2 linked regions of the Danio rerio genome follow. The protein of the gene in region 1 interacts with the protein of each later gene in a pairwise test. Links are inferred from orthologs where the notes say so. Each region holds a gene or a part of one and is shown on either strand. Other genes may lie near its edges. The genes, in order: stx16 and vamp5.

Region 1 (4,552 bases):
CATTTCCATTAGACTTTTTTTCTAAATCTAAAATTGGTAAATTACTCCCAGGTCAATCTGGACTTTTTCTAATAAAGGTGAGGTGCATCTGAAAAGAGATTGTGTCCTATGTTCACATTTCTACTTTAATTTTTTTTCTTTGTTCTATGCAGTGCTGTCTTTTCCTTTCTGTATCACAATGACATGATTTGGCAACAAATCACAGTACAAATCGCAATAAAATTAACTAAATTAGCCATATCAGAACATCCCTACAGAGTACAGTTATATTGACAACACGAGTAAGTCATTTGTCTTATCTGTACACAAGGACTTGTCATTCTGACGGCACTGACATATTGAGAGATGAACTAAAGATTTTAAGCAAGAGACTGGCTTTTGCGGGTAATCCATGCTGTTTTGCCATTTGTATGTGCTGTTTTGAGAAATGCACTTACTGTTTTGTAAATTTCAAAGTTCATGCAAAGACGAAAAGTCTGCGAAGACATAAATTTGTATTTTTATTTGCACATGTTCTTTTATAAAAAATAGTGTATACATAATTGGGTTTTACATTTTTTGGCTTAATAATTATTACTTTTTAGTCTACTCATTTTGATGTAACCATAATAGTACAAAAAAGAAGAGAGTCATGTATTTTAAAACAGATATTTATAAAAATCCAGTGGAATGGAACATCACAACCATGGTTTCTGCAGGTGTCAGTCACTATGTCAAATGTATGACTTTTTAAGTCTTTTTTTTAAAAAACACTTGTGAATTAAATTTTTACTACATGCTAAGGATGTTTTAATTGGTGTTACCAAACTTTTCAGCCCCCGAGCCCCAAAATAACAATGCCTGTGACTCGCGACCCCAATATTTCTCAGAGGTGGTTATAAATATACAAATGTTGCACACACAAAAACAGGCCTATAGTAACATGAGCATATTGCCAACATAAAAAGTGCAACAGTCTTAACAATCATAGGCTATAATTTAATAATCATTGATTCATTTGTTTAATTTAACATTAATCTCACCTCAATGAGCCTGGTTGACACCAGCACAAGTCTAATGGTTTAATGTTGAAGATCATCCTCAATGTTCAGTTGTGGCCTGTATTTATTTTTAATGTATTTGATTACCATAAAGGAGTCAGAAAGTTTAACCTGGTGCTATAAAATCAGTCTGTGTTGTTAATCTAACATACTATCTAATCTAATACATTATCCTATGACAAAATTAAAGGCTGATGGCTTTTTTTTTGCATGTTGTTGCTTTTTTAAATAATAAAATAAAATTCGAATGTAATTAATTCTTAAATATTACAAAACTGCTGTCGTCTAATAAAACTAAAAGGTTCATTAAGCTGCAAATATGAAAAGGTTAAGTATTTTAATACTGAATTCGATTTTTGCATATTCATTGTCCAAAGCGGAAGTTTCGGCGTGAGGTCACGTTACGTATTCCACGTCACGGAAGTCACAGACATGATCCATTTGCTCCCCAAACCGAGCGGAAAACTCGGGGTTTCGGCCTTGTAATGTTTTGGTACTTCACGGGATACAGACTCGGGACTGCGTTGGTCTAAAAAAGAGCCGAACTCTCTCGAGCTCGGAGGCGCTGGGTCAGTGGGCGAGCCTGCTGCTCGGTTTGCAGGCTAGCCCGCTAGTTCAGTAGCCGCAGCTGCCTTGGCGACGAGCTGAGTAACTAATCTAGAGACAGCCATCGAGGCAGCCCGCAGTTATTTCACTTTTCGCTCCCCTTTTATTGCATAGCCATGGCAACTCGGCGACTGACCGATGCCTTCTTATTAATGCGGAACAATGCAATCCAAAACCGGCAGATTTTGGCTGAGCAAGTGAGTACATACGACCCCCGTCGTACTCTGAATACACGTAGCAATGCTGCGGTGAGTCTAACGTTCATTGTCTGAATTGATTGTTTTGGCGTGTGTGGTTGTACGTGTGATTCAGAGAAAACAACTCTAGCTAGTTGTTCTTAGAAAACAACCCTAGCTAGTGATGTTTGTTGATGTCAACCGGCGCTGTCAGTTGTCCAACAAACCTCAACTTGTTTTGTTTGCTGTGAGAGGAGCTGGAAGGTGTGTGTGAACCTGCTAGCTGACCGTCAAACCAACGCATTTTGATTTACCTCAGCACACGAGAATGCCTTTGACTTGACTAAAAGGTGATGGTCGTGCTAGTTTAGATCATTGGTTCGTCTTTTAAAATATGACGCCCACTCCTTAAGTATACAGCTTATATGTTCGTGTATGAAGGCGCATGTATGTTTGTCTGGAGCTAAATAAGAATGTGGAGACGCTCTTTAACTGATTTATCTAGTACATATTATTGTATGATGATGTATGTTTACTTTTTAAAATTGAATTAAAATATTAATCATTAATGACCATTGTTAGAAAATACAGAACTGAATGGTGTACTCAAATTCAGTTTAAGCTACTGTTTAATGTTGATAGCATTTTGAAAAATTGATTTATTCCATGGTTAGAATTGCTTTAGTTTAATCCATCCTTGCTCAACGCAAGAATAAATACATTTTCATAAGTTCCTTAACTTTTCAACAGCAGTGAGTCATCGTGAGTTAAAATAGTTTTTCTTTGTGATCTAAAGCATACACATGAACTTTTCACATGCTTTCAATCACAGTAGCACGATATTGGGAAAATCTAACATTGCGATATTTTGTATTTTGTTACGTGAATACAGTTTTATTTGGAAAGAATTCCTCATTTTAGTTTAATTGGGGTGATTGGATCTCGAATAATGTGTAACAAATAACTTACAAGCTTAGGTAATCAAAATACAGCAAATATATAAGTGAATTCTAGTTTTCTGGAGAGTCTTAACAGTATTCAGGTACAGATAATTGAACAGTCAACATTGCATAGTCTTTATTCTATATAATGTAATCGTTAATAAATTTACAAACACTAACTTTTCTTGTGGCTGGATGTTTTAAACTCTGAAATGTTAAAAAGTTTACACAGTCAGAGGCTTTAAAGGCATAGTTCACCCAAAAATGAAAAAGTACTCATTACTTACCCTTTACTTGTTTCAAACGTGTAAGAGTTATTTATTGAGTTGCACGGTTTACTATGGTATTATCGCTATACTATGTCTCCAAAATACTGTCTGTGCCACTGTAGTTTGTAAACGGTAGTATCGTCATTTATGGTTTATCTACAATAGACAACGTTGCATGTGAAAAAGTCAATAAAACGCTTGCACGTTTGTGCAACAATAAACCATTTATTTTAATAGTCTGTAGAGCCCTTTAAGATTGCCAAACTGTGTCGAAAATGTGCCTTTTATGGTAGCCTGTTGCACGTTTCCTAACGCTTCAGTTTGAATAAACATTTAAATCGGTTCATTTCTGTTCCTATTAATATGATTAGCTACCACGACAATCTCTTTAAAAGAACGACTCACAAAATGAAATTTTGAAATACTTTGAGTTGTTTCCTGAGAGGACTAAAAACAAAGATGAAAAACCCAAAATAGCAACAGGAAACATTGAAACTATTTTTGACCACGTCATATAGCCTAATTTTGTTGGAAAAATGCTCTTTTGTAACAGATTTAATTTGGTATAATTTGTATCTTTATTTTAATGTGTTTTTGTTGGCCAGTTATCTACAAAATACACAAAAAGAATGAACAAACTTGAGGTGCAAATAATACTTTTTGGCCTTAAGGGAATTATGAATTACATTCAAGTAGGCCTATTATAACATAATATATAGTATTTCTGACAATTTCTATTTATTTTGAGTTATTAATTACAGTATCGCAATGCTACTTGGTATCGTGACACTTCAGCTGGTATAGTATCGTAAGATTAATTAATAATATCACCTAATAATAACCCTAGTTATTAAAATATTTTCTTTTCGTGTTCAACATAAAAAAGAAACACATAAACTTTTGAAAATAGTGATTAAAGGTACATTTTTGGGTGAACTATCTCTTTAAAGAGTCCATTATAATTCAACACTGCATTAATTATAATCAACTATTATTTCAACTCAACATTGAAGATCCTGAGATGTGACTATTGCGGATGCACACATTGCCACATCGATGCTGAAACGATATATTGTGCAGCCCTACTTTCATCGAATATACAGTCACTGTAAAATTTAGATTTGTTTACGTTTGTTATAACAAATGTTGCCGAATGTCATAGAAAGTAAAATGTATTAATTTTATTCCTACATTTTTACTTGACTTAGGTGTTTTTTAGTAAAATAATTCCCTTTTTTTTTTTAACACTATAGTAGCGGTGCATTTCTTATTGCTAAATTTAATGCCAGAAGTTGACATGGAAAGAAGCGATGATGGCTTTGATGCACTATATACTAGAGTCTACTTCTTAAAAAGAGACTCCAGAAGAAAGCAGTGTTTTGTCTCCCTATTCTTTACAGATCTTTCCTACAGATAAGCTATGCATCACATTTTTCTTTCTCTCTGATGCTGGTGGGCGGTCTGCTATATGGATATTTTTTTTTTTTTTTTTAAATATCTCTATACTGTAGTAATTGGGT
Region 2 (4,411 bases), on another chromosome or scaffold:
TATGTCTTATTATCGAAATTGGTTATAAATAAATCCCCTTTCGCTACTTGTCAATCAGACAACGCTTTTATGTTTGTTCTTGCTCTCAATTGATATATAAATATGATCGATAAGTGTCCTGATAAACAGCTGTAGTTTAACTGCTTTGTGGTGCCTTCACCTCCTCTTGCGAGTGGTCTCGCGCGGTTTGTGCCATGCATTGCAATAAATTAATAAGTTGTATATAAAATTAGCATTTCAAAACCCCTTAAATTTTGGCAACCTGCCAATGCCACTTTTTACCAAGCAGCATCTTCCCACTCTCCCTCAGGAAGCCAATATTTGGAAGTAACTAAAACTGCAATTCATCGACTCACCTTGGGGGGCTGGCTCCAGGAAGTACAGGTGATTTCTGACTGCAATGGTAAATTGGCCATTTTTTTCCCCCCCTTTATTTTCATGCCAAGAACAAATTTCATTAAGTTGGCCATTTTTACAGTTGATAAAATAAAAACATGTTTACACCCTGGTACAAAAGATGGCTTTGGTGCATATAGCTATGATTACCCTTCATGAGAGGGGTGAATTTTTTCGCAGACTATATTTGAAGTGTTTGAAATATTGAAATGTTGAAAAAGGCTTAGTGGCTCAATGTGTTACAATTGTATTTTTAAAAGTCTAAGTATTGATCTAGTATACAACCAAGCAAAAGGGTTAGCGTTAACCGTTAGGGTTAGGGTTAGGTTAGGTGTAGTAACGAGCAAACAAAGAAAACTAAGCACAAGGCAGAAGATATCATAGGTAAGATTGAGTTTTTTTTTTTAGTTTTTTAAAAAATTTTTATGATCTTTTTGTGCTAAAGTAATCTTACTGCAATCACCATAAGGCAAAGTAGCACCAACTCCCACTAAACACTAGGCTTCAGCTAGTTCTGTTGAATAAAATAAGCAAACAATGAATAAGAAATATGACAATGAGATGCTGCGCTGCCAGAAACTTATAGTCGGCTAGTGAACCAGTCGTTCATAACGGAGATTCATTCACAAACGAATCGCTCCCTCCGTCAGTATGAGAAGTGAAAGCAGGAGAGAAGGTGTGTTTCAGGCAGGGTGGATAGTACATTTCTGTACACACAAACAAGCTTTTTGTCAGGAACGCCAGTGCAATCACTGATCCATCAATGTACAAAAGTGATGTAAAATTATAATTTTCGTAATTAGAAAGAAAAATTACAAACTAACATCCAGGAAAACTCCCGATCATAGATATATGTGCATATGTGTATATCTTTGGCTTTGGATGGCCACAGTCCTCCACTGTACCTTGGGCAAGCATTCATTTCAAAGGAGCGCTACTCTGTTTCAATATGGCAGCTCTATTGACGCATTCCTTCTAATAGACAACAATAGGGTTTGGCGACATCTATATATCTATGCCCTGAGACCACGCTCAGACCTGCACTTCCAGACCTATCGTTTTCTCAGACAGTGCCACCTGCTGTTGGATTTGGTAAAAAGACATGTTGGTGCGATATGGGAGGCGCCTCGTGACAGCGCCAGCGCAGAAGAATAAAACTCTGGAGGAGCATTTTTTTGCGCATGAAGTTTGAAGATATCGAGCTTGTACTGTTTTCTCTTATCAGCTGCTAGTGCTCTTTCCGATGCAGTATATTCGGTGACAGTTTCTGGCGCATTTAACCCACAGATTGATACAATGGTAAGTTGTTTTGTTTTGAAACTTTAAAGTTTGTTTCGTTTTGCTGGTGATATTTTGAGGTTAGCTTTACAAATCAAGACCATTGAGGGCAAACGTTTTAGAAACAAAATGTGTAGCTCAAACCTGTATATGAGGGAAGTTTTCTGGATCTATAACACAAAAACGGTTAGATAAGAAGCTAATAAAAAGTGACGGCAAACGCCGCATAAAGTTGGTTTGACGTTGTTTATTGTTGTTACAAACAAGTGCAGTTCTGCCATGCTTAACGATCATTATGAAAGTGAAATCTATTTAGATTTTTGTTTCGACAGGCTATAGTAGGTTAGCTTTCAATTCGCTTTGTTAGAGATATGTGATAGTAAGTTGCTAGTATCGTTCTTATTGTTTGTGTCTGAATTTGAAACTGCCTTGTTCTTTTCAAAGTCATTTAAAAGTCATTCAAAAGGTCTTTAGCCTTTATTGTTGGTTTATTTCAGGTGTTTGTTGAAACACAAGAGAGGGGATTTTTTGCCTTGTCTCAAGGAAATTCCATATTCATTATAGCAGTCAAAACTAGAGAGGAAGGAAGGGAAGGAAGGAGGCAAAGAAAGGATGTAAAAAGAGATTTGTATCCTGCAGTTCTGGTTCAATGAAAATGGTGATGAAAAACTCAAACTCTACATATGTCTGAAAATGTAATTTTTTTGTTGTATTAAACACAAATACCTCTAAATTACATTTTAAAATGAAATAGAAACGTTGTCAGTAGTTTACAAAATAAGCCAAATAAAATAGATTTTGCTTAAAAAATATATATAATTCAGTTTTCCATATAATGTATTTCATGTTCATGTTACAAAATCCTCATTCTTTTAACTCTATTCATTCATTGTACACATCTAAAGAAAAATGGGTCACACTTTGCAATAAGTTTTCATTAATTAATATTAGTTGATGTGTTTATTAATATAAACTGACAATGAACAAAACATGTGCATCATTTATTATTCATAGTTCAAAATTTACTAAAACTTTATCAAGTAAATCTAAATTCATGCTTTTTAGCATTAGGTAATGCACCATAAGTTAACATAAGCTAACAAAGAACTGTATTTTCATTAACTAACGTTAACTAACGTGAACAACTACTGCAATGTACTGTTCATTGTTTGTTCATAATAGTAAATACATTAACTAACATTAACTAATTCAAACTTGTTGTAAAGGGTTACATAAATATAATAAAAATTAACATGTGGCTGTATAACCCATCATTATATTCACTTAAAATATATCACTCAAAAGAAGAAAGAAGACAACATCAACAACAAACAATCTTAGACTTAATCTTGTACCCAATTATACGGCTAGTTGCAATTTAATGTGCTATTTAAATTGTCATTTCCTTTTAGCATGTTTTTTAGTTTCCCCCTATTGTCCTATTAGACCAGATCTATCCAAGTGGTGCTCGCTGCAGAGCCATTTGAGGAGAGCTGAGCTCCAGCGAGGGGGAGCTTAAGCTTAAGCTCCACCTTTTTTGCACTTCTTCTATGAGTGATGTCACTGGGGGTAGGGTTAGGGGTGGGGTTGGTGTACGCATTAAAACGGCTTACAGGAGGAGGAGGAGGGACAGCTCATGCTCCCCCTCGCTGGAGCTCAGCTCTCCTCAAATGGCTCTGCAGCGAGCTATGAGCCATTTCAGGCTGTGACACACCAGTTGTGAACCACTGTTCCATTGTCTGTGGCTATTATGTGAGATGGTATGAATAATAAGTGGCGTTTCCTGTAAAATGAATAATTTCACTGATCTTTGTCTGACAGTTTCCCGTCAACCAAACCTTGACCTAAAGTCACTTACATCCTTCTGAGCACAAAGAGAGGAATTAACAGTCCGACTCAGCTGATATACAGATGACATGTCTACTGCTGTAGAGCATACTAATGTCAGGGAGGTCACAGTCCTATTTCATGGCGCTCAGCCATGCTGTTTTCACAAAGGCATCATTGTGGGTTTCGATGCAATAGCCTTTAGAGATTTCTCTGTCTCTCTCTGTTCCTTGTTAAACTGTAAGCGACATGGCACTCTTCCAGAATTCCATTCCTTATGCTTGTTGTAAACACAATTTTTAAGGCTGTTATAATGGGAGGCGTCCAGGAAGATTTCATCACTACTTTTTGTTTATAATGCTTTATTGGTTGCATTTCTCACACATTAAATATGTTGTACTGTGGTTCTTCTTTACCTTTTTGACCCCCAATCGACCAGATATTTTACAGCAATATATACAGTAAAAACTTCAAAACATTTCCAGTTTTTCCTGATTTACTGGATTAAGTTTGAAGATATATATACATATTTTTCTCACTATTTCCACCTGACAAAATATGATGGAGCTTGGTGTAATATTCCGTAGCTCTTTTATTTTTTTATTAATAGTTTGATTTTTATTTGGTCATTTTTTTGTCTATTACAGTATCAGTGTCTTTTAAATAAATATAATTTTATTTTATTTATTTAGTTTAGGCTAAAACAAAAATAACTGAGAAATACCTTCTCTGCAGTTATCCAACTAAAGTAAATATACTTTCTACAAAAAACACACTTTACATATACACACACACTTAAGCCGCTTTTCCACTATCGTGCTGAATCGTTCTTTAAACAGAACTGTTCCATTCCGTGCCAAACCGGGCCAGACAGCACGGATACGGTTTCATTTTCCACTGTCGTGCTGCG

The links.
Region 2: the proteins of stx16 (region 1) and vamp5 interact in binary tests that used the Homo sapiens proteins (3 or more experiments, as listed by UniProt). The two-hybrid records come from large-scale screens. The link is inferred for Danio rerio from reciprocal best matches to the Homo sapiens genes STX16 and VAMP5.

Annotation. Positions count from the first base shown.
Region 1 is NC_133181.1:52,356,226-52,360,777, forward strand, and holds the start of stx16 (syntaxin-16), read left to right. Parts: upstream 1-1,430; 5' UTR 1,431-1,762; coding exon 1,763-1,894; intron 1,895-2,005; exon of another isoform or gene 2,006-2,172; intron 2,173-4,552. UniProt on the Homo sapiens protein: SNARE involved in vesicular transport from the late endosomes to the trans-Golgi network.
Region 2 is NC_133180.1:28,903,861-28,908,271, forward strand, and holds the start of vamp5 (vesicle-associated membrane protein 5), read left to right. Parts: upstream 1-1,511; 5' UTR 1,512-1,692; coding exon 1,693-1,695; intron 1,696-4,411. UniProt on the Homo sapiens protein: May participate in trafficking events that are associated with myogenesis, such as myoblast fusion and/or GLUT4 trafficking.